Sus scrofa: one gene and its partners. The protein of the gene in region 1 binds, or shares a complex with, the protein of each later gene. Links are inferred from orthologs where the notes say so. Each region holds a gene or a part of one and is shown in the gene's direction. Other genes may lie near its edges.

Region 1 (3,500 bases):
ACATCGTCTTCACATCGTTGCACATTCTGCCATGGTATAAATTAATGAGGTTTTACTCTATTTGGATTAGGATTTGGATGGGAAAAACATGAGTGTGCATGTGTGTAAATATGGGTATTCATCACACACATGACAAGATATTGACACAGTGGTTACCAGTCATTCCTAACACACATTTGGGATGTAATTGTCGGAGTGATTGAAATCATCCACCTTGGGTCACTCTCAGTACTACCCCGATGCCCAATGGGTCCTGGACTCATAATTTCTCCTCATTTTGACCCACTGGGAAGCTTGATGTCAATGTTATCCCCACAGACATGCAACCAGCTTCCAAGGTTATGTCCTTAAATTAACACCACCTAAAAAGATCATTTGAGCATGATGGCAGGAAAACGTAGGGATCTGGGTGTGAGGACCTGGGCTGGTGGGAGGAAGGCGGGGGTCTTGTTCCTGCCCCACCATGGCTCCTGTGTTTGTAACACAGACCTACAAATAAGGGCACCCCAACTCAAAATTTTCTTAGTTGAGGTTAATATCTATGTAGTCACCAGGGTCTGGAGAATTGGTCTCTCTCAACGTTTAGATTCCAAGTAGAAAGAATAAGTGAGAAAGAGTAGGAACAACTGAGAGGTTGCAGTGACCCCACTCCGAATGTATTTGTTAGCAGGCTGTGATCCCCTCTCCCACCACCCCTCCCCTTGTGTGATGTCCACGAACAAGCAGGAGCCATGCCTGAGGGGAAGGACTACTGAATTAGGCACTAGGAGATCTGGATTCTTGTTCTAGATTTTCCTCCCTCCGTAACCTTGACCAAGTCATTTAACCTCATTGCACTTGGATTTCTTCATCTGAAAAAAAAAAATAATGCTATGAGGTCTCCAAGATCTTTTCTAGTCCTTGATTTTATAATTCTCCAAGTCAGACCACATCAAAATAAACCCTTAGGAGGGATTTCAAATGTCTTCACTTAGGATAAGTACTCTGTTTAAAGATGCTACTTGATAATGTTTGTTCCCTCTAAGCATGAAGTGCTCTGTATTTAATGTTAAAATAATCTCTAGTTTGTTCAGGTTTAGCTAAGACCTCAGACATTTAAATGATCAAAACATTGGCATCTGGAATTGTAGCAAACCTGGACTGTACTATAAAAAAAATGATGCATTTACAGAGAATTTACTGTTGACAATCTGTGAAAAATGTGTGAGTTTATCAGATCTTACTATAATAATCGATTAACATCGGTAGCAACATTGCATGGACCAGTTTTATTTGTTTTAGATGAGGAATGTGAGATCAGGGCTTCAGGCAAGATTTCCAAAGTCATTCTTTGTATTGTTTAGTGAAGTACTGTGAAAATAGTGGCCCTCAGTGTTTTGATGGTTAATCTCCAAAGTATCAAGGCATATATATTAGAAACCAGAGCCCACTTCAGATGAACCCTTTGCACTGTTGGAAATCTCTGGGATCTGTTTGGAGCTGGTTCTCACACTGACTAGATGTAAAAATGACTCTGATGCCTGGGTCTTAAGCACAGTAGGGAAAGGAATCTCTCTGAAGCTCTCTGTAGGGAGTTAAATCAACCTTGATGATGATACAAAAGAATGATGGATTCCAGAGTTGCCGGTCACGTGTTTTCTTAACCCAAACAGTGGTTGAATAAAATCCCCTATCGATGACACAGAAATCTGGAGATGGGGAGAATTCTGAGCTTTCTGATGCTATTAACTCTCTCTTTTTCAATTTAGTTGCTCCAACTATCACATTTCTCGAATCTCCAACCTCAGACCACCACTGGTGCATTCCATTCACTGTGAAAGGCAACCCCAAACCAGCGCTTCAGTGGTTCTATAACGGGGCAATTTTGAATGAGTCCAAATACATCTGTACTAAAATCCATGTTACCAATCACACGGAGTACCACGGCTGCCTCCAGCTGGATAATCCTACTCACATGAACAATGGGGACTACAAGTTAGTGGCCAAGAATGAGTATGGGAAGGATGAGAAACAGATTTCTGCTCACTTCATGGGCTGGCCTGGAATCGATGACGGTGAGTACCCATGTTTTTCCATCTGGAGAGAAGATAAGCTCCATCACGCAACCATTGACAAAATCATGCATCTGACAAACCGCTCCCCAGACCCAGGGGCTTACAGCACAGTTATTTAGTCTTGCCCATGGGTCTGTAGGTCAGCTTGGGGAGTTTTGTTCCATGTGTCTTTGGTTTGGGGTGCAAGGTGAAGAAGCAATGGCCACACAGGAGATGTGCTTCTTAGGATGAGTGCAGAACACACAAGGGCAACAAAAATTGCACAGGGCTTCTTAAGACCTGCATTCAGGATTGGCACACAGTTTCTTTAGCTTAGATGCCATTGGCCATATCAAGTCATAGGGCCAAAGCCAAGTCCAGGAACAGGGACTCATATTTCTCCTGGGGTGGTGGGATGGGGAGGAATAATTTCTGTCTTTCTCTCTTTTTTTTTTTTTTTTTTTTTGGTCTTTTTAGGGCCACACCCGAGTCATGTGGAGGTTCCCAGGCTAGGGGTCGAATTGGAGCTACAGCTGTTGGCCTGTGTCACAGCCACAGCAATGTGGGATCCGAGACACGTCTGCAACCTACACCATAGCTAACAGCAATGCTGGATCCTTAACCCACTGAGCAAGGCCAGGGATTGAACCTGTGTCCTCACGGATACTAGTTGGGTTTGTTAACCACTGAGCCAGAATGAGAACTCTCAGAGGAATAATTTCAAGCATTGTTCTGATAAACACACATGATTTTTCTCTCAAGTGTCACAGTGGCAAAACCCATGCAGATCTGTGAGCAGGTGAACTAGGTTGGGTTGGCTCATGAACTATACAAGATATACTTTCTAACTCCTTGTTACTCATTTGGGATTCAGAATCCTGCTCTCTCATCCAGGGATGAGACACCAGGTCATGGCAATGTTTTGCTTACCTGGGATGATTGAGTTGCATCCTTTGATGGGACCCTGCCTTGTTTTTCTAGGAGTGGTAATAGTTCCCATCCGACCAGTGGTTTGGGTTGGGAAATGGATGGCTGGCATCAGGTGTCCATTCTGTGGCCAGCAAGAGAATTTCAGTGTGAGCCCCAGTAACAGCAGGGACAGTCATTGTGGATTTACCTGCATTGGGCACTCTTATTCAGTGACGTGTCCTTCCTTGCTCGCCCAAACACCTGCTACCATTGTGGAGGCCGAGCCCTGCATTTGAATATCAGGACCTATGCTCGAATAGAATTCCTCACCATAATGGCCCCGAGTTAATCAAAGCCACTCAAGCTGGCTTGGCAGAGGGAGAGGGAAATTAGAAACTTGGAGGCCTGTGGGGCAGGGGGCTGCTTGGACAGCCTGTACTAGTGTGGCTCGCTGGGCAGCCTCATGACAAAGGTGACGACTGCAAATCCACCTGCACCGAACAGTCAACAAGAAGGCAGTGATGCTCATTACACAGTACGTCTTCCTGTTATCCCAGT
Region 2 (3,997 bases), on another chromosome or scaffold:
CTCTGGTAGGGGGTAGGGCATGTGGGGTGCTCAGGGATGGGGGGGCATGGAGAATTCAGGAAAGTGACCTGAGTGGACACTCAAAGACTGGGAGGCGCCCGTCCCCCACGGCCAATAAACAACTGCTGCCGCCTTCTATGTAGCCTTGGCGGGCACTGGGGAGAGGTGAGGGGAACACCCTAATCCGGGGACACCCTTCCTGCCACCTTGCCATGCTATATTTAGGCTGAAGGAGGGGTAGGGATGAGCCTTTCCCCCCCACCCCACCCCACCCCGCCGCCAAGGCAGTGTCAGCTTTCCTCCTGAAAATAGCTGCAGGGGGAGAGGTGAAGGGCCAGCTCCCGTCTGATCTGCTTCTGTCTTAAGGTCTCTCTTTCTCTGGGTCTCTGTCCCGCTTGTGGGATTCCCCCTTTTCTGGGGCTGCGTGTCTGGATCCGTGTCTCGCTCTGTCTCTCTCCCTCTCGGGTCTCTGTCTCCCTCTTCGTCTGGGAATCTGTCCCCCTTTTCCCTTATCTCTCTGCCTTCCCCCGCATCTCCCTTCAGCTGTCACTTTGCACGTTCTTCCTCGAAGCAGGTCATTCTGTTGCCATGTCACCTCTTTGTCTACCTCGGGGCCCTAGAATACCTTGAGTTTCTCTTATCTGAACTCAGGACGAGCCCCCTCTCCCCAGTCCCCACCCAGGAAATTCCAGCAGAGAGGGCTGCTGTGGGAGAGCCCCCCACATCCCCGGCTCCTCCTGGGGCGCATCCGGCCTTATCGCTGCCCGAGCCCAGCTGGTTAATGTCTGGCTCGGAGCTCTTGGGAGAGTCGGGGATGAGCGCTGAGGGTGGGAATCTGCCCGGGATTGACACTTCACTGGCAAAAGAACGCAAAGGAATCTCAGGCCCAGACTCCTGGGTGTGAGAGAGGAGGGGGCTGGGGGGCTGCGCTCCCTGGGGCGGAGGGGGGAGGGGGCTGGGGGTCCAGCCAGACTCCTGGGGCCGAGGGAGGAGGGGGCTGGGGACCCGGACTCCTGGGTCGGAGGGAGGAGGGGGGCTGGCGCCTGGCCTCCTGGGACTGAGGCGGACCGAGGGCTGAGCGAGCCAGGCCCGGCTTCCGAGGTCCCGGCACGCGTGTGGGAGGCGGGATCCCCCGGCCCCTCCTCCGCCGTCGGGCGCCGCCCCGCCCCCGCCCCCGACCCGGGCCCTCCGGAGCGTGTGCAGCGAGGAGCCGGCGGGCGAGCGGGCGTCCCTGCAGCCAGCGAGCAGGAGCAGGAGGAGGAGGAGGAGGAGCCGCCGCCGCGCCGGGGGCAGCCGGGGGAACCGAGGAGGGCGCCCCAGGTAAGAGGCTCCGCGCACCTCCTCCCCCAGGATGCGGGTGTCCGGGTCGCCCGGCCCCCGGGTGGGGAGGGGCGGGGGCGGGGCCGCGGGGGCGGGGCTTGGCGGAGGAAACTGAGGCAGGAGGGAGGTGTCCCCGCTGGACAGCCGGTCACCCGCGGCGCCGTCTCAGGCGTCCGGGCTCCCAAGTTTAACTTTCTGCGGGAGGACGGGCCTGGGAGTCCGCGTTTCTGCCTACCTGGGAAGGACGGGCTTGAATCCAGAACTCCGGGATCTGAAGGAGGAGGGCACTGGGGGGCCGGACCCCTGGGTCTGGGGAAGAAGGATTTAGGGGCCTGGACTCCTGCATCTGAGGAAGGGAGCTGGGGGCCTGGGCTCCTGAAGGAAGAGGCGGCCGGGGCCCCTGGGGCTCTTGGGTCGGAGGGAGGAGGGGGCGAGAGCCTGGACGCCTAAGGGTGGAGGCAGCTGGGGCCCTGGACTCCCGATCTTAGCCGGGAATCGGGTCTGCCGATCTAAGAACGGAGGCAGCCGGGAACCCGGACTCCCGGTTCTGCTTGGGTCAGTGAGTGGCCCTCTTCACACTTCCGCCTTCCCCGGTTCCCCATCTCCCAGCCGGGGCAGGCAGCCACTCCAGGTATGTGCAGCAGAAGTCTTGGACGGGCCCTGGCCTGTCCTGCGAGGAGAGAACATTCCAGCAAGCAGCCTCCGGGGACCCAGGGCTTCTTAAGTGTGGGCCCTCAGGGACCCGGGTGTCCAGGCCGGCTCCGCCCCCGCCCCGTCTGAGAGATGAATGGGCCGAGGAGGCTGTAATCTTTTCCAGCCTCCATCCTCAGCGTCTACCCTCAGTGCTCCTCCCCCCATCTGCTTTCTATCCAGGAGCCATCACCTGAGCAGGGCAGGGGCCTCTGGGAGGGGGGTGCAGCCTTGAGTCTGGGTACCCTCTGCTTTAAGAGGAACACCCACAAGGGGACCTTTCAGGGGTTCAGGCCCCCTCCCCCACTTGCCTCTGTAACCTGCCTGTTCCCTTCTTCCCCTAGGTGGTTGCCCCCTCCGTGTCTCCTGAGATGTCAGGAAGGAGGGGGCCACCTGTGTCCCCCACAGGGGCCCCCCGGAGCCCGGGGGCCCCCAGCCCTGGAGCTCGGAGGCGGAGGAGGTGCTGACAGGTCTGGTAACCACCCGATGCCGCTTTTCAGTCCTCTCCGGGCCACCCTGTCCCAGAACCCACAGGCTTGCAGAATGTTCTAGAGAAACAGCAAACATCCAAGCCCCGCCCCCTGCCAGCATCTCCAGGCCTTGGGTCGTTTTCACGGACAGGGAAACCAAAGCCCCACCTGAGAGGAAGTGTCTTGCCTTCTTAGTGGCCGTTTTAAGCTGAACGTGGGTCTCCCTGGGATTCCGGGACTTGATCTTTCTCAGAATTTTGGAACCTCGAACCTCCTCCAGGCTGCCGGGCTTAGGGTTCCTGGAAGCTAGAGAGAGGCAGGATGGCAGAGTAGAGTGGCCTGGACAGGCTGTGAGTCCCATCTCTGGCATTCGCTGGCTGCGTGACCTGAGGCAAGCCACGAACCTCTCTGAGCCTGTATGTTAGCGCTTATTGGCCATTCTTAATAATGGAAGAAGAATTAGCATGAATCTGGAAGTGGGGCGTTATCGAAGTCCTAGAATATCGGGCTCCAATACAAGGGCCTCCCCGTGATGGTGGCACGCAGGTCCCCTTGGAGTTCCCTTCGGTCCCTCCACTAAGCTATCCTCCTCTCTAACTGCAGGTTTCCTCTCTGTATCCTCAGGTGCTCAGCGAGATGCTCCCCTACCCCTCAGGCTCCCTCCCCATCCTCCTACTTTTCCTCCTCCCCAGTGTCCCCATGGAGCCCTACTCCCCGCCCTCACCACTGCCCCCATTTCCAGCCGCAGAATGGGACCTCTTGTCGCCCCGAGTAGCCCTGTCCAGGGGTACCCCTGCGGGGCCTCCCCTGCTCTTCCTGCTGGAGGCTGGGGCCTTTGGGGAGCCAGCCGGCAGCCCAGCCAACCGCAGTCGGCGGGGGGTGAGCGAGACAGCACCAGCAAGTCGCCGGGGAGAGCTGGCCGTGTGTGATGCAGTCAGCGGCTGGGTGACAGACCGCCGGACTGCCGTGGACCTGCGTGGGCGTGAGGTGGAGGTGCTGGGTGAGGTGCCTGCGGCTGGTGGCAGTCCCCTTCGCCAGTACTTCTTTGAAACCCGCTGCAAGGCTGACAGCGCTGGGGAGGACGGCCCCGGTGGGGGTGGAGGGGGCTGCCGGGGCGTGGACCGGAGGCACTGGGTGTCTGAATGTAAGGCCAAGCAGTCCTACGTGCGGGCATTGACTGCTGATGCCCAGGGCCGTGTGGGCTGGCGATGGATTCGAATCGACACCGCCTGCGTCTGCACCCTCCTCAGCCGGACTGGCCGGGCCTGAGGCCTATGCCCAGGCACTGGGCAGGCAGAAGAAGAAGAGAGCTGGATGCTGAGAGACCTCAGGGGTGGCCTGGCTGCTCTGGGCCTCCGTTTGGGAAATTGGCAAATGGTCACAAAAATCACAGCTCTCCGATTTTGAGAGCTTACTCTGGGCAAGATAGATTGTGAAACCCACTGGGGTTTTGAAGGATGAATAGGAGTTCTCCTGGATGAACTTGAGGATGAGGATGAGGATGATAGCCAATATTT
Region 3 (4,140 bases), on another chromosome or scaffold:
CCCCAAGGACATTCTTTGGCTCACCTACCTTCATTTTTCCCTTTGCCAAAACCTCTACTCTTTATTTCCTTAACTAACCTTTTCTATCGCCTGTTGCTAACCCATAGTTTTCAAAATTACCCTCTGCTAAAGTGACTCTACTAGAGGAAAAATTGTTCTTATTAGTGATGAGGGAAGAAAATTGTTGATTTTTACCCAGTCCTACGTGGATACTAGTACACCACAGCTTATCAAGCATTTTCATTTTGAATTCCTACAAAAATCCAGAGATGATTATATATATATATATGCATACACACACATCAAATACATCAACTGTATTACAAATAAAGAAACAAGCTGAGAGAGGTCAAGCAACTCGCCCAGGGTGGAAAAATAAAAATAAACGACAAGATCCATGCAGTAAGAGTCCAGAGTCCCCAAGCTCTTGACCTCTATTGAAATTCCAAGTGATGATGGAATATAGGAATATAATTTAGTTCCTGCCCTTAAAGAATTTATAATTCTTTTTTTTTTTTTTTTTTTTTTTGGCTTTTTGTTGTTGTTGCTGTTGTTGCTATTTCTTGGGCCGCTCCCGCGGCATATGGAGGTTCCCAGGCCAGGGGTTGAATCGGAGCTGTAGCCACCGGCCTACGCCAGAGCCACAGCAACGCGGGATCCGAGCCGCGTCTGCAACCTACACCACAGCTCACGGCAACGCTGGATCACCACAGCTCACGGCAACGCTGGATCGTTAACCCATTGAGCAAGGGCGGGGACCGAACCCGCAACCTCATGGTTCCTCGTCGGATTCGTTAACCACTGCGCCACGACGGGAACTCCCCAAGAATTTAAAACTTGTGTTGGGGTAGGTGAGATTTATACACACAAGTTAAAATAAAGAGCCACCGTTTTTGTATTGGTACTGGTCTCCTCCTCTGCAAGATGTAGCTAACAGCACCGACCTCAAGGGGCTTGGGAATGATTAAACTGAGTAAAGCGCTTTATACAGCGACTATCACGCAGTATGCGGTCAATATATGTTAACTTATTATTTTTAAAGGAGGCAGATTAGAGTGGTAAGAATACTGGAGAGATCCAGGAGGCGGGTTGTAGGCGCTGGACCGTTGCATCTAAGTTCTCCGAGCCTCGGTTTCCTCTTCTGCAAAAGCAGGTGCCTGGAGTGGAACACGTCGAAGGAGGCAGCGGGAGTCTGGAGAATCGAGGGGCCGCGGCGCAGAAAGGGTTAGCGTCGGATTTGCCGGCGCCGGCGGGAGGGGCTCTGCCCCGCCCCACCCCGCCCCGCCCGGGAGGCGCCGGCAGCTCCAGCCTGTGAGCAGTTCCGGTGCCAAAACCCTTCCCTCCCCGCTCCCCCGGAAGTGCTTTTCCATAGTTCGAGCCGGAGAGAGGCCTTGTAGGTACTGCCGCTGAGGCTCGATCGGCTCGGAAGAGGGGCTCCTGCCTAGGTGGGAGCCCGGGGGTCCGCGCCTGCCGACCCGTGCCCTGCCCGCTCCCAGCGCCCAGGCGGACGGTGAGTGGCCGGCGGAGCTGACTGCGACGGCCGCGGGCCGCGTCGGGGCTGGCGCTCTCGGGCCCCCGCTGCCCGCTTGGGACTCCGGGCTGCAGGCTGGGCTGTCGGGGTTCGAGGAAGGGGGTTGTCGACCGCCGCGGTCTTTGCCGAGCCTGCGGGGCGGGAAGAAGCGGGTGGCTGGGCCGTGGGGTGGGCGGGGCGGAGCCGGGGTGGGGGTTCCTGGAGCTGTTGTTGCTGTTGGGACTCTAGAGTAAGGATGGGCTGGGCCTCCGTCCATCCGACCCCTCACTTAAGCTCCCCCAAGTACTCGCGCTGCCTCTCGGATTTGGTTTTCTCTCTCCGACCCGAGCCTGGGAATCTAGACCTCAGACTCAGTCTTGGGCTGTAGTTCTCGACTTTTGCTGTCTCTGGATCTGTCCTCGGGCTCGGTAGTTAGCTCGGGTTCCAGGGGTGTTGTCTCCTCCGACCCAGGGTTGGGCGATGCGTGTGTAGATGTCGGGGATCTTTTGCAAGGCTTTCCAACCAGACCCGCTTAGGGGTTGCCCAGGATCGATTGGGACCGGTTTTGGATACGTAGGTCACTGTGGGAGCAGCGCGCCTCCCATGATCTTTACTCGCTTGAAAGCTTACTCAAGCCGTTGTTGAAGTGACTTCTTAAAAAAAACAGCTTGCTTGAAGAAAAGCAGTTCAGGTAAATTCCCTCTTTTTCTCGGCAGTAAGAAATGATGCTATTCTCTAATCTGTACTCCTAATTTCTGTGGCTATCTGAAGTCACAGTTGTATGATGAGTTCAGTCTGTGGTTGTTGCACAAATTGACTGCAGAGGGTTGGAGAATTATACCTCCTCTTTCCCGACGTTTATATACCTTCATATTTGGGACTGTCATTTTCCTTAACTTTTAAAGAAAAATTGTTCTCTATAACTCCTAGGAGGTTCCTTATACTGTTACAGCTGTTGCTGCAATGCAGAGGTTCACACAAGTGGGTAGAGGTGTTTTGTTTTATGTTTTTTTAATTTATATTATGAGGTGTTTACTTTGGAGTAATTGAGCATTTCCTAGAGGAGCAAGTGATGTAGGTAGTTTTTTTTTTGGTGAACAGATTTTAGGTAATAAGCTACTCCTGAAAGGTTGGTAGGAAATAGGATTTACTCAATTTAATCGTGATTTTGAAATTATGATCGTAAGAGAAAGCAGTTACTGCAGATTTTGACTATCAGCGGATGACCATTGTTTTTATAAAGTATCTACACAGCACGTTTGTGAAACCTGTGACACTTTCATGTACTTCTTGTCTGGTGCTTATATTAGGGCTTATACTGTAGTTTTTGGGGGTTCTTATCTGCTTCTCTTTCCTCCCACCAGTGAAAGGGGAGGCAATATCATGAATTAGGGAAAATAGACTGAAGTGACAAGTTCAGTGAGCTCTCTTATGCAAAAGAAAATTTATTTTAGGCTTGTTGATATTTAACAGGCAAAGGGTGGATGATTTTTAAAGTTCCTGGAAAAAATTGTAGACAAAAAAGTTAGTTGTCCAACTTTTAGATTTAGATAGAAACCATAGATTCTTAGCTACTTGAAATTCTCTAGTTCTTTTAGAGCATAGGGTTGAAATATTGGAATTGAGAGAATCTGGAAAAGGAGTTAAGTTAGATACGGTTATGGATCCGTCCTGAATGAAGGTATGATAGTTAATGTATTTCAAGGAGAAATAGTTCAAGATTTTTAAGAACAGAAAGAGGTAGGGAAAATCAGATACTTTCAGGTGTTGTAAATTTAATTATGTTCACATCAATTCAGTAGATATTGAACATTTACATTGTAAATTATATTATTCAAGTCAGTTCAACAGATATTGCTATGCTAGGCATCAAGCTATGTTAGACAGCCGTGTAAGAGTAAGTAAAGATATAGCCACAACAACCAAGCTTCGTGGCAATAGTTTTCCAAAGTGTGTCAGAAATCATAATGAGCATGTTAAATATTTAGGCATATTACATTTTTAAATTTTACAATTGGAAGTGAGTGCTGTGTGCTTCATGAAAATCACTGCTAGGCAATATAGCATACTAAGATTAAGTTGTTGCTCTTCCATAGTTTGAAATCAAGAAGGTGATGTCAGATATTTGCATAAAAATTTACAACATATAGAAATAAATGTAAATACTTGCTACATGAGTGGTTTGACCTAAAATTTGGAGTTGTACTAAAGGACAGTGGGTTCATTTTTAGCCAGAGTAAAATGAAAAGTGGTGGAGGTATAGTATTCCTTTATAATGCCTTTATAATGCTTATAAAGATAGCTCTGAAGCAATTATTTATTGAACATTTAGTGAGCACCAGGCTCTATGCTAGTTACTTTACGTACATTTTCTTCTTTTTTTTTTTTACATACATTTTCTAAGCATCACAACAACACCTAAGCATATTGCTTAATAATGACTGATACTTAAATAAGTAACTTAATCTGTACTATGTAGCTAGCAGGTAATTGAGACCCAATTTGAATCCAGATCTGCCTGGTGTCAAAGCCTATGTTTTTGTGCTACAACATGCTACCTCCCAATAAACTGGTAACCTGAGTTCAACATTTCAGAGGGTAAGACTTTTTCTAAGACACAAATTTAGGAA

What was found. The genes of interacting proteins can lie anywhere in the genome.
Region 2: the proteins of NTRK2 (region 1) and NTF4 are in contact, whole or in part, in a crystal structure (PDB 1HCF), measured with the Homo sapiens proteins. The link is inferred for Sus scrofa from reciprocal best matches to the Homo sapiens genes NTRK2 and NTF4. Residues at the interface, in NP_001018074.1 of Homo sapiens: Phe291, Glu293, Thr296, Ser297, Asp298, His299, Cys302, Pro304, Thr306, His335, Val336, His343, Gly344, Cys345, Asn350, Thr352, His353, Met379, Gly380, Trp381, Pro382, Gly383; in NP_001382418.1 of Homo sapiens: Gly81, Val82, Ser83, Glu84, Thr85, Ala86, Ser89, Arg90, Arg91, Gly92, Glu93, Leu94, Ala95, Asp98, Ala99, Ser101, Gly102, Trp103, Thr105, Tyr135, Phe137.
Region 3: the proteins of NTRK2 (region 1) and FRS2 are in contact, whole or in part, in an NMR structure (PDB 2MFQ), measured with the Homo sapiens proteins. The link is inferred for Sus scrofa from reciprocal best matches to the Homo sapiens genes NTRK2 and FRS2. Residues at the interface, in NP_001018074.1 of Homo sapiens: Pro498, Asp499, Val501, Ile503, Gly504, Met505, Thr506, Lys507, Ile508, Pro509, Val510, Ile511, Glu512, Asn513, Pro514, Gln515, Tyr516, Gly518, Ile519; in NP_001036020.1 of Homo sapiens: Val26, Asp27, Asp28, Asp29, Gly30, Tyr59, Leu60, Cys61, Leu62, Arg63, Arg64, Tyr65, Gly66, Tyr67, Asp68, Ser69, Asn70, Leu71, Phe72, Ser73, Gly77, Arg78, Ile86, Ala88, Lys90, Phe98, Gln102, Met105, Gln106, Ser109.

Annotation. Positions count from the first base shown.
Region 1 is NC_010452.4:30,356,838-30,360,337, reverse strand, and holds part of NTRK2 (BDNF/NT-3 growth factors receptor), read left to right. Parts: intron 1-1,748; coding exon 1,749-2,054; intron 2,055-3,500. UniProt on the Homo sapiens protein: Receptor tyrosine kinase involved in the development and the maturation of the central and the peripheral nervous systems through regulation of neuron survival, proliferation, migration, differentiation, and synapse formation and plasticity.
Region 2 is NC_010448.4:54,271,293-54,275,289, reverse strand, and holds the start of NTF4 (neurotrophin-4 precursor), read left to right. Parts: upstream 1-1,197; 5' UTR 1,198-1,320; intron 1,321-1,404; exon of another isoform or gene 1,405-1,951; intron 1,952-2,354; 5' UTR 2,355-2,480; intron 2,481-3,104; 5' UTR 3,105-3,116; coding exon 3,117-3,749; 3' UTR 3,750-3,997. UniProt on the Homo sapiens protein: Target-derived survival factor for peripheral sensory sympathetic neurons. May promote ameloblast differentiation and subsequent reduction in proliferation of ameloblasts.
Region 3 is NC_010447.5:33,724,094-33,728,233, forward strand, and holds the start of FRS2 (fibroblast growth factor receptor substrate 2), read left to right. Parts: upstream 1-1,340; 5' UTR 1,341-1,510; intron 1,511-1,744; exon of another isoform or gene 1,745-2,201; intron 2,202-4,140. UniProt on the Homo sapiens protein: Adapter protein that links activated FGR and NGF receptors to downstream signaling pathways.